2 linked regions of the Lytechinus pictus genome follow. The protein of the gene in region 2 binds, or shares a complex with, the protein of the main gene of each other region. Links are inferred from orthologs where the notes say so. Each region holds a gene or a part of one and is shown on either strand. Other genes may lie near its edges.

Region 1 (8,202 bases), on a different chromosome or scaffold from region 2:
AAAAGTAATGGCTAAAACAAAATCTTAATAATCCACTGTGAGTAATTACGTAATCTGTAAGGAAGGTTTATTCAACTCTAACATCTACATGAAGTTGGTTTTGATAAAATGCAGGAACAATCAGGGAACCATTTATGAAGATTTATGGAGGTTTAGGGAAATCCAGCAACAAGTAGATAATTTCTGATAATTTTTTGATTAATTGTTTGATATCACATTAAAACAGTTCCCAGGTACGGTATGCCACTGACGCAATTTCTATCAAGTGCTATTGTGTGGATGGTCAATGATAAATTATGGATAAAAGAATGTGCCTGATTAAATGCACAGGTTAAATGATTAAAAAGTTTCTGCGAAAATTGCACTTTGTGAAATTCATATTTCATGAAATTTGGAAGAGCTGCTCACATCATTATGTGATGTAAAAAAAATACTTTTAAACTACAATTATTTTTTCAGGATTTTCATTAAATCTTCAATCATATGTTCATCTCATTTTCCTATTTTTATAAACACCAACTTCATATCAGGGTGGACATCAACATGTAAAGAGGAATAAGCCTAATCAACTCCTTCCAAGCAACCATCAGAAAATAGACAGTAACCCTCAAATCAGTAATTAATTTTACAACCATAATGTGATCAATGAATATGCTTCAGAGCACAATATATGCTTGCCATCCTTACCTAAGAAGAACTTGTCATTCTCGTAGTACTTGTTGCCATATTTGTCCTCACCAACAAGAGCACCAATCTTAAGATCTTCTCCCCTAATGGTTTTTAAACAGCAGAGAAAAATATATTGGTTGAGTCGAAGCAAGAATAAATTGATCTGAATACAATCAGGGATAACTGTAGATGGATTCTTGATTGCAAGCAGTTGAAATTTCTGCTCCCACCATATATATCACACACATCTTTTAAAATTGTCAAATTATCTGTGACTGTGACTTTTACCCTTAAGAGTAGACCCTATCTAATGAGATCATCACGACTGGAGATGTTCCCTCAAATGGTTCTTTTTTATTGCAAGGAAAAGATGACCCCAGTCAGTGTTGTTAATAAACCCACTCAAGGGTTCATTACATGCCGCTGCAGAAAAATCAAGCCATAGACGTCGTGTGTTGTGGACGCCAGTAGTGTGAGTGTATTAAACCCAGCACTGTCAGACATTGCTGTAGACTACTGTGTAGACTACAGAGTAGTTTTCCAGCACAGCATTAGGCCTACACTTCTTGATCAGCATAGAATTAAATTTTGAGATCGAGATATGCGATACTGGGGAAGTTGAATTAGATCATTCTGTTAGATAGATCTTCTAATTCAGTCAGGTGTCAATTGACACATTCTTACTTAAAAAAAACCAACTAGGCCTAAGTCTAACTTGTTAGAAGACAACTTAGGTCTACGTAGTCGTATGATCGCAATCGCGATCTTGCGGCCAAGTGCAGTGGTATGGTAGCCAACTATTGTTTGAATTTATTTGTTTAACATATGAATATTTTGGTATAGAATTTTACCCTGATGATTATTTTTTTTAATGTTTGGCAACCCATGCATGCATCATTCAGCCGGGCATTATACTCTAAGTACTAACAAGTTAGACAGCTACAGTACAGGACCCGTCATCAACATGCACCCGACTAACCCAGGGAGCCCAGGGGCTTACCGTGTATTTTACCATACTCAAGGGACTAGGGTGAATTATGGTCTAAATATTTCTCCAAATGAATTGTGAAAACAGAAATTATGCACTTACCACGATTATATGGATGAAGGTCTAACGAGTGGCAGTTTCCTGACATCTGGGCACAGACCACTCACACGTATTACGAGGTTAGTATTAGTATACTAACCTCGCACCACGAACCGCATTTGGCAGTGGATTTCTAACTAGTGGGTCGCGCGTGCTGGGATCTCACTTCTTGGGTCCACAACACACGACTTCTATGGCTTGAATTTTTTGTGCGCGGCGGCATGTAATGAACCCTTGGGTGGGCACAGACTGGAACCTCAAAAAACGAAAAGTTCTCTCCTTCTACCCCCGTCTCGATGGGCCATTTTTGTTATGAATTGTAACAAAATGGTCGATCGAGACTGGGGTAGAACTAGAAGGAGAGAACTTTTCGGTTTTTTTAGGTTCCAGTTTGTGCCCAGATGTCAGGAAACTGCCACTCGTTAACGTTAGACCTTCAACCATATAATCGTGGTAAGTGCATAATTTCTGTTTTCACAATTCATTTGGAGAAATATTTAGACCATAAATCACCCTAGTCCCGTGAGTATGGTAAAATACACGGTAAGCCCCTGGGCTCCCTGGGTTAGCACCCGACAAGAATATTCAATAGACGGGACTGTCCAAGAAGATTCAGAATCATAGTTTTAGCGAGTTTGGCAAACAACACCCATCAATATAACTTATCATATAAAAAGGAATAAAACTGTACACCGGCTACATCATAAAAAGCATTTAAGAAATAATTTACCTCAGTAATTTCCAGAATGATCCCCTTATACCACCACATTCTTTGATAGTTTGGAAGAACCTCCCACGTATTGTCGACGCCATAATTCAGAATAACAACGTGTCGCGGACAAACCACTTTCATGCAACCTATATCATACGCACATCCAATGAGATTATCACGATTTTGTCATACAGTCATTGTAATTGCACAGGAGATAAATTTCCGGCACTCGTTGTGTGCATGCTGGTATTCCTGGGATCCACCCCCCCCCCCGCGGCCCCCTTCTTCTCCTTAACCTTGGAGAGTCTATTATCGGAGATCAATTGGGCGGATCCAGCTTTCACAAAGGGGGAGGGGGCGATTTTTTTTCACCTAAATTTTCCCCAAATCGGCCGCTTAAGTCTATCTTATTCTTAGCTATATATATAAAAAAAAATTAACAACATAGATGTATAATAATATTCTCATATAAGCCCTATTTAAATAGTGCGAGAGCGAGCTAAAATGTTTGGAACTGAAGTCCATGTATTTTGTCCTGAAATTTGAACATTCTGGGCAATGTTTGTGATCCTGAACAAGATGCATACTGGTAGCGCGAGCAGAAATTTTTGATACGTTTGATCTAGCCTGATCCAGTCAGACCGCAACGCCGCACGTAAAATGATGGGAGCACGAGCTGATATATATTTTTTACCTGTATATAGGCAGTGGCGTAACAGGCGGGGGGGGGGGGGGGGCAGGGGGGGCAAGTTGCCCCCCTGGCGGATTTCACCGGGAAAATAAAAGAAAAACGGGAAAAAGAAAAAAAAGGAGGGAGAAAGAAAGGGAAAGGGGACGGAAAGGGGAAAAGGAAAGGAGGAAAAGGAAAGGGAAAGGGATTCCGGTGGCCCGGGTTCGATTCCCAAGTGGTGCGCTAGTGCCCTTTGGTAAGGCATTTATCCTCATTACCAGGTCCCTCGGAGAGGACCTTAAGCCATTGGTCCCCTGGTTGCTTGCTCACAGGCATTCGTGCTTTCTTAGCAGTCAGGTAAAACAACCTCGGTATAACATAACATAACATAACATAACAAAAGAAAACGAAGAAAAAACTATTTTTGTTAATGGAAAAGGAAGGAAAGCGGGAAAATGTACGAAAGAAGAACATTTGAGAAAGAACAAATCATTCCGAAATAGGCCTATGTAATGCAATAGCACGGTGGGAAATGAATTAAAAGATGACAAAATGGCAACCAATAGCGGGAAACGAAGTTAGAGAGGGTTAGTCAAAAGCTAAATTGGAAAAGAAAAGGGACAAGGAAAACAAATAATAACACGACCGGGCTGCCGATGATTGAAAATAAAGAGCGGGAAAAAAGATGGACTGCATACAACATTGTGCTATAAGCTTGCTAAATTTTATGCAAATAAGCTACCGGGGCTTTGCCCCAGACCCCACGCAGTAGGGGCTCTTCATTTATAACCTTCAAATGGCTCTATAACGCCCCCCCCCGTTCAATCACAATCAATCACTGGCATACAAGCGGGGGGGGGGGGGGGGTCTTGGTTCCACACCCAAGAGAAAATTAAAGAAATTGTAGGAGACAACGTATAATGAAATGAATGGAAACAATGAAATGCGTTATTTGCTGAATATAATGGAAAAAGCTATCACATAATTAGAATTTAATTTCAATTGGTAATTTTTTTTCCAGCCCGCTTTGCATGCTGGCGACTTTTTTTTACAAATTTTCCCACATTGCTATGTTTTGCCCCTTAAAAATATTTGGTTCATTATGCGACCGGGTTGAATAAATGTGTTGTGTAAAAGCTTCTGTATATGACCGCGATTTGATTAAAATAGCGGCAATCTGCGAGGTTTAAATGGCTTTGATATCAAGAAGTTCCGGGAGCTCCGCCCAGACCCCAACCGCACAGCACTGCGTATGGAAGGGTTAGGCCATGGCCCCCAAAAGTTCTACAAACAAGAATAATTAAAAAAAAAGCAAAGGAAAAGTGAAGGATATGATTTTATTTACTGAATATAATGTCAAAAATAGCTCAAAGTTAGATTCTCATGAAAAGGTGATTTTTTTTCTCACTCGCTTCGCTCGCTCGGGACTTATATGAAGCAACTTTTTAGCACATGTGCTATACTGCTCCCCTGTTTTTTTTTTTTCTTTTTTTACTCTTCACGCTACTTCCACAAAGAATCCTGTTCACAGTGGCGTACAGACCACAAAAAAGGAATCTAAAGAGGGAAGAGTGAAATATATTATTTTCTGGATATCATGTCAAAATCTATCACAAAATTGAATTTTTGTATTAAAAAGGTCCAAATTTTTGCTCGCTCGCTTTGCTCGCTCGCAACTGTTTTTAAAGATAAATTCTGCCCGATACGCAATATCTGGCCTTCTCAAAATAGTCTCATAGCCTCATTACACCATTGCGCCTGTTCATATACCATCAGTGGCGTACCTAGGATTTTCCACAGGGGAGGTAAAATCGGCCGCCCAAAAAATTGACAAGCAAAAAAAAAAAAAAAAAAAGAAGGTCTTCAAAAAAAATTTTTTGGTTTTCGTACCAGAAAATAATGTGACAAGCAAAAAAAAAAAAAAAAAATTTCTTCAGGCTCTTCAGGGGGGGCATTAAAGGTCTTCAAGTTCGTCAGGGGGGGCAAAAAAGGTCTTTTAAGCTCGTCAAGGGGGCATATGTCTTTTGTATGGGTTGTGGCTCGTCAGGGGGGGCAGAGTGCCCCCTCTGCCCCCCCCCCCCGTAGGTACGCTAGTGTATACCATGATATGACCGGGAAATGTTTGGCTCATGCCCCCCCTGGCCACCGACCCCTGTTACGCCGCTGCCTGTAGGACCGGGAACCCAAGGGGGGGGGGACATCCTAAGGACATTTTGTCATAATATGAATATGATGACTATATCTTCCTATGAGCTCTTTCTAGGCGAGAGATGAAACTTGTCGATATTCCATTCTACAATTTAAAAATGTCAGTTATATATAAGACTAATGAGAGCCAAAATTTGACGTTTTAAGCAATTTTGTAATTATGAATAGGATATGCCTGCATGGGTTAATATATTTTAACAATTAATGCAAGCGTGAAGCGCGAGCGAAATTTCATATAGTCATAATAATAGTGTCATGAAATTTTTTTTTCCAATTAAGTCTTCTAACTTTATTTTATTCACTTATCTACAACAGTCTTCCTCTGTTATCTTTCCTCTTCTCTTTTCCCTCATTCCCCCCATTTTCTTTTTTATTCTGAATAAGTTCTTATCTCCATTATTATCTTTTATAATTTATCACTGAGATAGGAAGACGCTAAAATCGGCAAATATGTATTCTGAAGTTTATAACGCGGTATACGTACAGGACTGCCCCCGGTCCCATATGTACAATCATCCCGGGACAATCATAAAGGCCTCATTTTTTATCAGTCGAATGGTAAATAATGTCACTAAATTCTCACGGTACTTGATTTTATTGTTTTTCATGCAAATAATAAATGTTGATATAGTTTAGCCTAGCCCTAGCAAATCTTAGCTTTTTTTTTGGAGGGGGGGGGGTAATGATCATCTCTTTAAATGCATTCAAACGTAAACTCAACTTATCCTGCTTCATTCCTATAATTCTTCGCAACGGAACTAACACTTCATTACGTTGATTATCATCCTTTCGTTTTTCATTCTTATTGTTTAATCTTTTTTCTCTTATATATACTGTCCAGTAATGCCAGTTATATCATCTTTTTGTTATTTCACTAGATCAAGCTGGTCTGTGGTCAGCCCTTCCCCATTCTATGTTCTTGTCGTGTCCTGTCATGTCTCTTGTTTTGTCTTGTCTTCTATGTCATTCGTTCTCTCTTTCTTCTTTTCTTCTGTCCAATGCGCAATCCTTCATAGCGGAGACCTCTTTGTGTGAATACCTTTGCATTTGATCAGTAATTAAACATAATTATGTTACATCAATCTGATTTCGACCTATTTGTTCCTTCTCTTTTTTCTTTCCTGTATATAATTATGAATAAGTCGACAATATTTTGGGGGATCCACACTTTGCAAGCTTTGCTTTTAGTGGACCCCCCCTTATTTCCATTTATGCTCAATTTTATACTGGTTTTTACGAAGTAAGAATGTTCATCTTTACAATTGTATCTGATTTATATTATTTTGTATTATGTTTTGAATGGAAATGAAATATATATACACACTAAGAATTAGGGGATCAAATTTGAGCCCTCCGGGTTGGTACAATAGCTGCACCCAAAGGGGTGCTAATGAGTGCAATTATGCTCATTTGAAGGTGCATTTAGCTACGTTAAGCACTCTATAGGGTGCGAAATATTGAACCATGTAATAAAGGTTCAAATTTGAACCTTTTTTAATGTCAAGTATTATGCACCCTAACAGGTTCATATTTGCACCTATTAGGGTGCGAGCGAGTATTTCTTGGTGCATATAATGATAAAAAGGTGTATTTTTACACCTGTTGCCTCTTAGGGTGCAAGATTACACCCCACAAGGTTGGTACAAGTGTTTCATTTTGGGTTCAAACATTTCTTAGTGTGTAGAATTGAATTGAATTGAAAATTGAAGTTGAAAAGGCCAACGCTAGACGGACTTGCTCCCGGTGTAAACCCTATATGAAGATAGTAAAACAGTGATTGGAGTCACTGAGACCTGGTTCTCGAGTGAGAATGACTTAAATCTTTATCATATTCCTGGTCATAATCTTGTGTCTAATCATAGATATGCTAAAAAAGGAGGTGGAGTTGCTTTATATATTCCAGATTCAGTGGACTTTCAATTAAGGGATGAGCTAAATATGATGACTGAGCATATGGAATCAATATTCGCAGAGTGCTTCATTCCAGGAAAAAGAAATGTTTTATTTGGAGTTGTGTATAGACCCCCTCAGAGTAACTTAGAGAGTTTTGTGAACGAAATGCATAGTATTCTTTCAAACCCACTTTTCGTAAACAAAACAATTTTCATAATGGGCGATTATAACATAAACCTCCTTCAGTGTGATGAAAATTATCATTATGATGCGTTTCTTAATATGATATGCTGTCCTTTTCCTTAATGCCATTAATTATTAAACCAACAAGGGTAACTGAAGCTTCATCTACGCTCATAGATAACATTTTCTATAATAGACAACCTTTTCCATCCTCAGGGATTATTGTATCAGATATTTCAGATCATTTCCCAATCTTCGCTCATCTAAACTTGGATAGAGTCTGTAAACAAGAACCCAAATCAATTCGGAAAAACACTTCCGCTAATATCGCAAAGCTGCGGGCAGCCTTGATAGAAACTGACTGGAGTGAAGTTCTTAAAGAAAATGATGTGAACATATCGTTTAAAAGGTTCTTACAAAAATTCATGTCTCTGTATAATAAAAATGTACCAGTTGTAAAGCAAAGTAGAAGAAATCGTAAAAATTTTCCTATTATGCCATGGGTTAGTGCTTCTTTGTTGAGATCCATTAACAAGAAAAACAAGCTGTATTATTCGTATAAAGTGCGTGGTACCGAATCTTCACGTAAACGTTATGTAAATTATAAAAATACGCTTACTTCAGTCCTTCGTACTGCAAAGAAATCATATTATCGCACTCAATTTCAAGCAACAAGAAACGATATCAAGGGAACTTGGAAAGTGATTAAGAAAGTATTCAAGTCAAAGGAAAATATATCTCATGTAAAGAGTATTGAAATTACCGGTCATGTGGTGGAAG
Region 2 (8,418 bases):
CTTGTTTAAAAAGTGCGAGCTTTTTGTTTATTTTATCTTAAAATTTAAACAACTTGGGCAATGTTTATGATCCTGAACGAGATGTGTATCCAACTAAATAATTGCTGCGAACGCGAAGCGCGAGCATAAATTTGTAATGTACGTTTTGATCTGATAAAAAAGGATCTGCTAACGGCAGCTTGTTACCCATGAAGACGTTACATAATTATTTCAACTTTCAAATAATGCGAGCGCGAAGCGCGAGCTGAAAATTTTGACATTTTTACCTGAAGAATGGAAAACGATAGGTATATAACTAAATTGATGTGAGTGCGAAGCGCGAGCTGAAAAATTCGAGATTTAAACCTAAAAATGGGACACTCTATTCATATTTTTTAAATCATGAAAAGGATGAGTAATTGGAAATCTTCATACAGTAATAATGCGAGCGCAAAACGCGAGCAGAATTTTCAAAAATTTATTTTTAATATACGTTTTGATCTGATAAAAAAGGATCTGTTAACGGCTGCTTGTTAGCCATGAAGACGGTACATATTTTAACTATCAAATAATGCAAGCGCGAAGCGCGAGCTGAAAATTTTGACATTTCTACCTGAAGAATGGAAGTTCTAAGCACTTTTTGTAATCGTGAAAAGGATAAGTATGTAACTAAACAATTGATGCGAGTGCGAGCGGAAAAATTCTGGACACTCTATTCATGTTTTGTAAATCATGAGGATGAGTAATTGGAAATTTTTCTACATTAATAATGCGAGCGCAAAGCGTTACCTAATTTTGCGCACGGTCGAATATCTCAATATCTAGAAAAATTGATAGGGCCTATCACAAACAGAAAAAGCGACCCAAAATTACTTAGTATGGCAAATTTCTTGAAGGTATGGTCTAAATTTGTGAAAATATTCGCAAAACATCCGCAATTTTTTTGACCTTGTGCGCCCGCTTCAAGAAAATCTGAACTTCTCGACAAGCTTCAAGAAATCGCCAGTTTGCAAGCAGAGGTCTCCAAATAAGTAAGTCAAATGAAATGTTGTACAAACCTAATTTATGGCATTTTAACCTCTATCCTAGACAGCTGGCAGCGGTCTGTTTCGAGGAGTTTTTTTAACATTTTTAATTTATTTAAAAATTTCTCCTCGTACACAGACGGCTCGCTATCGTGCAGCCACCATTAGGGGGTTAACAAACCGTTGTCTGCTTGATTTATTTTCTAAAGCTTTGCAAAACGATCCTGCGCAAATTAAGGTCACACTTCTTTTTTTATGACACGTTTTTTGCCGAGCACGCACACTAGTCGATCGTCATGGAATTTGAGATTACCGGCGCCCACTCGGTCAAGGGTGAAGGGTTCATTACATTTACATGCCGCTGCGCACAGATAAATCAAGCCATAGAAGTTGTGTGTTGTGGACACCAGTAGTGGGATCCCAACACGCGCGACCCACACTAGTTAGAAATACACTGCCAAAAATTTCAAACTTTACTTCAAAAGTATTTTCCCGCATAATCCATGTTTCTACAATACATTCTCGACAGAAAATTTGACATTTCAGTGCAAGGGAACTCGCTTTAATTTATTTCAAAATAGCTCAAAATGCACTGAAATGTCAATTTTCTGTCGAGAATGTACCGTATAATAATATATTCATTGTAGGCCTATTTGTAGAAATTAGAATTTACTAATAGTATTTAGAAACATGGATCATGCGGGAAAATTGAATATTTAAAGTTTGAAATTTTGGCATGCCTAAATTTTATTTCATGAAATATTGAAGAAGAATTCAAGTGGTCGAGTTGTCCAATTCAGAGCAAACCCTGGACAACTCGACCGGGACGAGTTGACTTGTCCAGCCTCCAGGGCAGCGGGTCGGGTAGACAGGAATAACCGTCGTTTCTGGGGATTTATTCAACAATTTCTGACATTTTACTGTAATCCCCATTTACCGACAGTAGGGTGTACGTGTGGGCTCGCATGTGTTCTCATTCCCTCCCTTTTGTCAATTCACAGTCCAAAGTTTGATGTAATTTTACACATCGAATTTACAATCTAAGGATGTATAAACAACAAACTTTTAATTATTTATATTCCAACATTTAAATACTTTAAACGATATAGATGAAAAATGCATGAAAAATATACTTTACCGATGTTTAATTGGGTTGAACACGATAAAAATGGTCAAAATGGCAGCCAAACTATAAAATATTTACAAACGAACGTCAACAATCACGAATGTGATATCGATATTGCTTTCGATATTATACGATCTGCTCCATATGCGAACGAAACCGAAGATAAACGATACTAGTTATACTAGTACTAGTACTAGTTATAATCGCGATATATCGATTCGAGACATTAAGTTAATAACGATAATGACGTCATTCAAGATGGCAACTTGCAAGAAAAACCGTCAGGTCAGGTGAAAATGTCTTAGATGACAGATTTCTCAATCATCCAGAGGATTTTTTTCAATAACTCCGGCCCAAGGTATGCAATTACTTAATTTATTTATATTTCCCTGATAATGGAAACCATGAAACTTTCAATTTTGCTTAAAAAACAGTTTTAAATCGCGATCTATAAAACGCTAGTTCACTATATACGTTGGCTGTAGGTACGGGGCCCCATCCCCTTCAGTCTATGTATGGTGAGTGGAGCCAACGTAGTTCAGCGGAACAACCAAAATACAGAGACTGAAGCTTTTGGTCTACGGGTCGGGCTGTCCGGACCCCCCATCATAGATTCATACACATCCACAAAAATAATCACATGGGACTAGGCCTAGACCATATTATATAATACTATATACTACCGGGTAGACAACCTCTAGCTTCACTCAAGTCAAAGCTCACTGACACTTTGCCCTGGGGACCTTGACACGTCTTTTATGAAAATATAATTCATCAATTTCTCTATTTCTACTATCACAATATTGCTTGCTGCAAACATGGTAAACAAACTTACCCGTTCTTGAAATTTGAGAAACCAGTCGAAAAGTCGCCATTTTTTCTAGACCAATTATTCTCCGAGATCAGACGCAGATGGCGCGCACATGTCGCTGGTCGCTGGCTTTGCTTTTCTAACGTTAGGTGAGTGTATAAAGTTCTGTAAATGTAACTATGTAAGTGTGAAAATATGGAATCTTCATATATCTGTCATGGTTTAATGCATTTAATCATTCTTAATTTCGGTAGTAGGGCCGTTAGAATAGGCCTACTTGTATTTCGACGTAAATGATTAGTCTAGTCCACCACTCACTCCAGCAAGCGCCACCTCGCCTGTCAAGCCCCTCCAATTAACAAGGCAACAGCTGCAGCACGGTCACGGCGCACAGTGGGCCAGAAGGAGTTGAAAGTGCGCCAAAATTATATTCCGTGTTATATTTTTACTTTAACATGTTGATTTAGGGTAATTTTGGGCGTAGAATCGACTGAACATAATTTAAATCCGATATGACGTCACTTTGATACCAAACTTTGATTGGCTACTTAAAACCTATCTGTGAAAAGACAAATTACGCTAAACAATGTGTACTACTACTAGGCCTAGGCCTATAATATATAAACTTTTGTGTTATGTGTAACTTTAAGATTGACCAGAGTGAATGTCGGTTTATGCTTCTCACTTGCCAAAAAAGTGTGTATGAGATCCTGAAAATAATTTTATGGCATCAAAATGATCATTAGATTAAAAAAATACTTGAAAATATGAAAAATATGAACCGTGCTTTATCAAGCGGGTAGACTTGGGTAAAACGCAGAGTATATACACCACGAATGTTTTACTATGAGGCGGTTTTTGGGTGAAATTATTCTACAAGTAACTTTTATCTCTGGAAGAGAGGCGGGTGGTAAGTAAAATATGAGTTATCAACCTTCATTTTGTTTACATTATGCCCGGAATTCATGTCATTTTCATGGAATAGAAGGGGAATCGTCCTCGCCGTGCAAAAATGAACGGCAATGTACACTCCACACGGTGCGCTGCGATGGCTGCGCGGTATAAAAATACCCGTTTTTTAACAGGTTTTGGGGGTGTTGTGTCAAGTAAAATCGGCTCTAACATGAAAACGGGCAAAAACGGGCAGCTAAATTTGGTATCGACTTAAAGCTTAGACATCTGGCAAAATGATGATGATAGAATTTAAACGGAAATCTACGGAAATCTAAACGTTTCTAATGTAAATGCAAAAAACATGGATTATCAGCCAATTTCGAGGAATAATTATCCTATAAACCTCCTGAAATGTGTCTTTTATCTACTTTGAACCCTTTCACATAAAAAAAGAATATATCAGGATTATGTGGGTGCCATTTCAGATTCCTACATGAAAAGCTTCCTGTGAAATGGCTTGTTTTCCAACTAAGTTGTCATTTACGCGGCATTTCGCTAAATGTCACATTTTACGATTTGAGGTAGGAAATTAACATCCTTTATGCAAATTCCCGAATGAAATATTTTGCTGAAGTATTCTTCAAAGTGTTGTCTTTCAGCTGGGCATGACAAAAATGGAAAATCTGAAATTGCCCAAAATGACTTTTGGCGCACTTTTGTTTCGCCCCGGCCCTCTGTGCGGCGAGGGGTCGGGTTGCACTCCCGGCCCGGTATACCGGCGGATCCTGCGCCTGGCAGATACTGTTCTAGGCACCAATGGCAATGCAAATCCGCCGGCGGATCGTGTTCTACTCCGGCGGATTCAGTATACCCAGTTGTTGTGTGTCCGGACAGGTTGTGTGTCCGGACGATCAATTTTAGAAAGTCATTTGGAAAAATTTACAAGCGAATTTTCATCAATTTTTAGTACAAAATGTTAGGAAATATAGAGAGCAAATATTAGAAGATGGAATAAAACTAATGAATCTATAAAGACTATATATAATGAATCTATAAAGACTATATATTAGTGTAATTCAAAGATGAAAAAGAAGGCTTAAAAAATATAATTATAAACTAAATAGTAAATTAAAATGAGTATAATAAAGTGTCCGGTAGGCTTGGCCTTGGGCGGTTCCCACCTTTCCCAGAAGAACCGACTCCGGCTCTGACCCATCACCCAAGGCTTCGGTTCCGAGAGGAGTCGACTCCACAATCACTTAACACACTAGTGAATTATGAGATACATGCAGAGCTCTTTTCATGTCCATAAAGACAAAGTGAATGGAGCTACTGTGTGCAAGCAAGGAGATAGTGATATCTCCTTGGTGCAAGCAAGATATCCCCTCTCACTCTCTCTCCCTCCCTCTTTCTATATATAGCCTACTCCTCTCTCTCTTCTCTTTTTCAAACCAAACTTTTGGGTTTCTTGTTTGTTCTTGAAACCTTGAAAGTGATCTCGAGGGGGCAATTATGTGGTCAGTAGATAAGAGAAGCCAGACATGTTCTGTTTGGATTAGTCTGCTTGCACAGCCCCTATATGACACTAATAGGTCTAGAGAGCCATGGTCTGGCACAACTACACACTAAACTAACTTGTATATTAGATTTCCATAAAATGATTTTAGCTTGCAATTGTAAACTAAGTCGGGAATTCCCTTCAGCAGGGCATTTATGTGCTGTTGTAAAACAGAATCGGTTCTCTTGTAGGGTGGATCCCTCGGGCTCGAGTAATGGGCCTTGAAAGAATGGGGGTCGACTCCTCGACTCTGGTGACAAGAATCGGGTAGACTCGATTACTCGGCTCTGATGCCCAAGCCTAGTGTCCGGACACCCGACCCCCATCCTACCACTTTCTTCGGAAGATATCGTTCTTGCGCTATCGCGATATCCTTCATTCACATACGTCACATGAAAACTTGTCAAAAGCGGTAGATTTCATCAATCAAAGCTTGCAGAAAAAGATATTTATGTTAATGTTATCTCTATGTGATAGGAGAGAAAAAATTAAATGTGTAATCTGAAAATAACCCATTTTCTATAGAATTGCACCACTTCTAACACTACATGATGATGTTGTCACGGTCTCGGTGCGAGGCCGGTGAAAGCATTTACAAGAAAGTATATTTTTGAGGCAAAATATTCAGCTGTATGCGATGACTGCATAAAACTTGCATTTCTGTTTTTAGTTTAATAGCTTTTGATTTGTCAATTAAATTTTGGGGTCTGGTTTTGGTCTTTAAATAGTCCACATTTAGTCTTCATTCAACTGTCAATGTCTGCTGCACTACTAGTAGTATAAGAATTTACCCCAAGATATGATAATAATGCTTGTAATCGAATAACATGCATTTGTTAATTTATTTTATACCTATTAATTTATTGCAGTATGAAAAATCCTTATCACAATTTTAGGGATAAATTGGGCACAATATGCATCAATTAATATGATTAATACAGAGTATTAAATAAAGGTAAACAATGGCAGTTTCGATAATTAAAATCAGTATTTTGTAATAAGCTTTCTAAAGGGAAGTATAAATAATGATCACTGCAAATGAAATTCTTGATTTACGAAATTCCAATGTATTACTATTATTTCCTCCACATTTTCTCGTATATTTTTCTATTTTCTCTCCCTCCCCTTCCTCTTCTATTTCTCCTTTGTGGTGCTATATTACCCCCGCTTATACGCCCCAGATATATTCATAATATGCCACAAAGGTTACGGAACTGGAAAAGAGGCAAAAGGGGGCGAAATGAGCAGGGACAGAAAGAAAGGCAAAAAAATAAAGAAATGAAAACCAGGAGGGGGTATAGTGAGAAACAAAAGATAAAGGAGAAATTATATTTCACTGTCTTAAGATCCCATATTGATCTTAAAATTAGATGACTGAGAGGTAAATTAGGGAGCACCAAACAGTTCGTGGCGTATCCAACTTTTGTAATGTGAACTTCCGGTCCCCTTTAATTAATTCATTAAAACATTGAAAAAAAAAAGGAATATTTTTTTTAAATACATGAAAAATTAAAAATAGGCTTACCTTACAATAAACTACATAAGAAATTGATCACATTTTGACATTCTGTTTTTTATGTTTGTTAGAAATATCAAATTTATGTTTTCACCAAAAATTAGCATTCTACAAGCAATAATATGAGCTAACAGCAAAACATATTTTCATACACTAATTTGCATCATTTATTTTGAAATATGAAGATTTAACTTGTTGAAATTTGTAGTTTCAAAAACCTATAGGCCTATATAGTAGAGCGGATAAGCCGAACAATAGTGAAAATTATGACTAAAGCATGAAACTTTCACGAGTATTAGTATATGCCGTAAAGATTTATTTTAAAGATGGGAGGTAAATTTATAAATGCCATTTTCGGCCGTTGCCATGGTAACAGATTAATTTCTCCAAAATAACATACATTCTCATGTAAATGGTAAATAAACATGATATAGATGACCAAAATTAACATTTTCAGGCTCCCAGTTGAGTACATATGAAATTTAGAAATATTCAAGATCACCAAGGTAGTTCTAATTGGTCTGTTGCCATAGAAACGGCTTGTTTTTCCCCAGAAAAATATTTGATTAATAAAACGTAGAATATGATTTATCTTTAATATCACCTAATTTTACAGTGCTAAACAAAGATATTTTGGTTGCTAAATGTATAAATTCCATTTCAAGCTATTGCCATGGCAACCAAATAACTTCTAATTTACAACAAAAAAAATGGTTGACAAGACAATGGACAGGTGGAAAATACAATTGGAATTGACTTAATATGTATGCTTAAGTTTTGACCCACTCATTTGAACAAAAAATACAGAGTGTTCTGCAGGAGGTTCCGAGGTTGTCTGTCCAAATCAATAGTAAACGTATAGTCAATAGAACCAAATCCGCGGAGGAACCAAATCTGCAAACATCAAGCCACGTCAAACCCGGCGGATATGGTTCCGATTTAAACACGATATCGGCCATTTAGAACGATATCTGCCGGCGGATACGGTATCTGCCGGTGGAACCAAATCCGCCGCTACACCGGCCGTACCGGTAGTACCCCGCCTGTAACCGGCCCCGTCATGATGTGCTGGGGTGGTATTCTGGGCCCCGGCCCGTTTCTCAACACTGGAACAAGTTAATCATATCTTTATCCACCAACCACCAGTAGAGGTGCCGGTCCAAAAATTGGGATTGTCCCAGAAAACATGGATTTGATCTAGACCAAAAGCTTTGGACTCTCTTTTATTGGTTGTTCCGCTGAACTCTGTTGGCCCCACGTGTCTTAGCCAGGAGGCTTCTAGAGTAAAATCATTTACTAACGTATGCTTACCCTCCACGAAGCCAGGGATTCTATTTCATTCATCTACACATACCGCCAAAAAACCTAAAACTTTCGCCCCCGAGATTTCTACTTCTAAAATATCTAGCCCTAAATCCTGTAGTGTAAATGGGATACAACTTCATTTCCGACATTTCTACTCTATCGATTTCATTTTTAAACAAGAATTCATAAAAAAAATGAGAAAAA

The links. Proteins that work in one complex are often made in the same cells at the same time.
Region 1: the proteins of NADH-ubiquinone oxidoreductase subunit 8-like (region 2) and NADH dehydrogenase [ubiquinone] 1 alpha subcomplex subunit 12-like are in contact, whole or in part, in a cryo-EM structure (PDB 8ESZ), measured with the Drosophila melanogaster proteins. The link is inferred for Lytechinus pictus from reciprocal best matches to the Drosophila melanogaster genes ND-23 and ND-B17.2. Residues at the interface, in NP_524719.1 of Drosophila melanogaster: Glu85, Pro86, Ala87, Thr88, Ile89, Asn90, Pro92, Phe93, Glu94, Lys95, Gly96, Pro97, Leu98, Ser99, Pro100, Phe102, Arg110, Tyr111, Pro112, Ser113, Gly114, Glu136, Thr148, Arg149, Pro176, Asn177, Phe178, Glu179, Phe180, Ser181; in NP_001137770.1 of Drosophila melanogaster: Arg32, Asn33, Asp34, Asp35, Lys37, Phe58, Tyr59, Gly60, Arg61, Arg63, Trp64, Ile65, Phe67, Tyr75, Asp76, Gly77, Ser78, Ile80, Pro81, Ala82, Glu83, Tyr85, Gly86, Met88, His89, Tyr90, Lys91, Thr92, Cys101, Arg102.

Annotation. Positions count from the first base shown.
Region 1 is NC_087247.1:36,286,205-36,294,406, forward strand, and holds the start of NADH dehydrogenase [ubiquinone] 1 alpha subcomplex subunit 12-like, read right to left. Parts: upstream 3,084-8,202; 5' UTR 2,570-3,083; coding exon 2,487-2,569; intron 771-2,486; coding exon 688-770; intron 1-687.
Region 2 is NC_087246.1:7,381,078-7,389,495, forward strand, and holds the start of NADH-ubiquinone oxidoreductase subunit 8-like, read right to left. Parts: upstream 3,299-8,418; 5' UTR 3,006-3,298; coding exon 2,966-3,005; exon of another isoform or gene 2,753-2,965; intron 1-2,752. UniProt on the Drosophila melanogaster protein: Core subunit of the mitochondrial membrane respiratory chain NADH dehydrogenase (Complex I) that is believed to belong to the minimal assembly required for catalysis. Complex I functions in the transfer of electrons from NADH to the respiratory chain.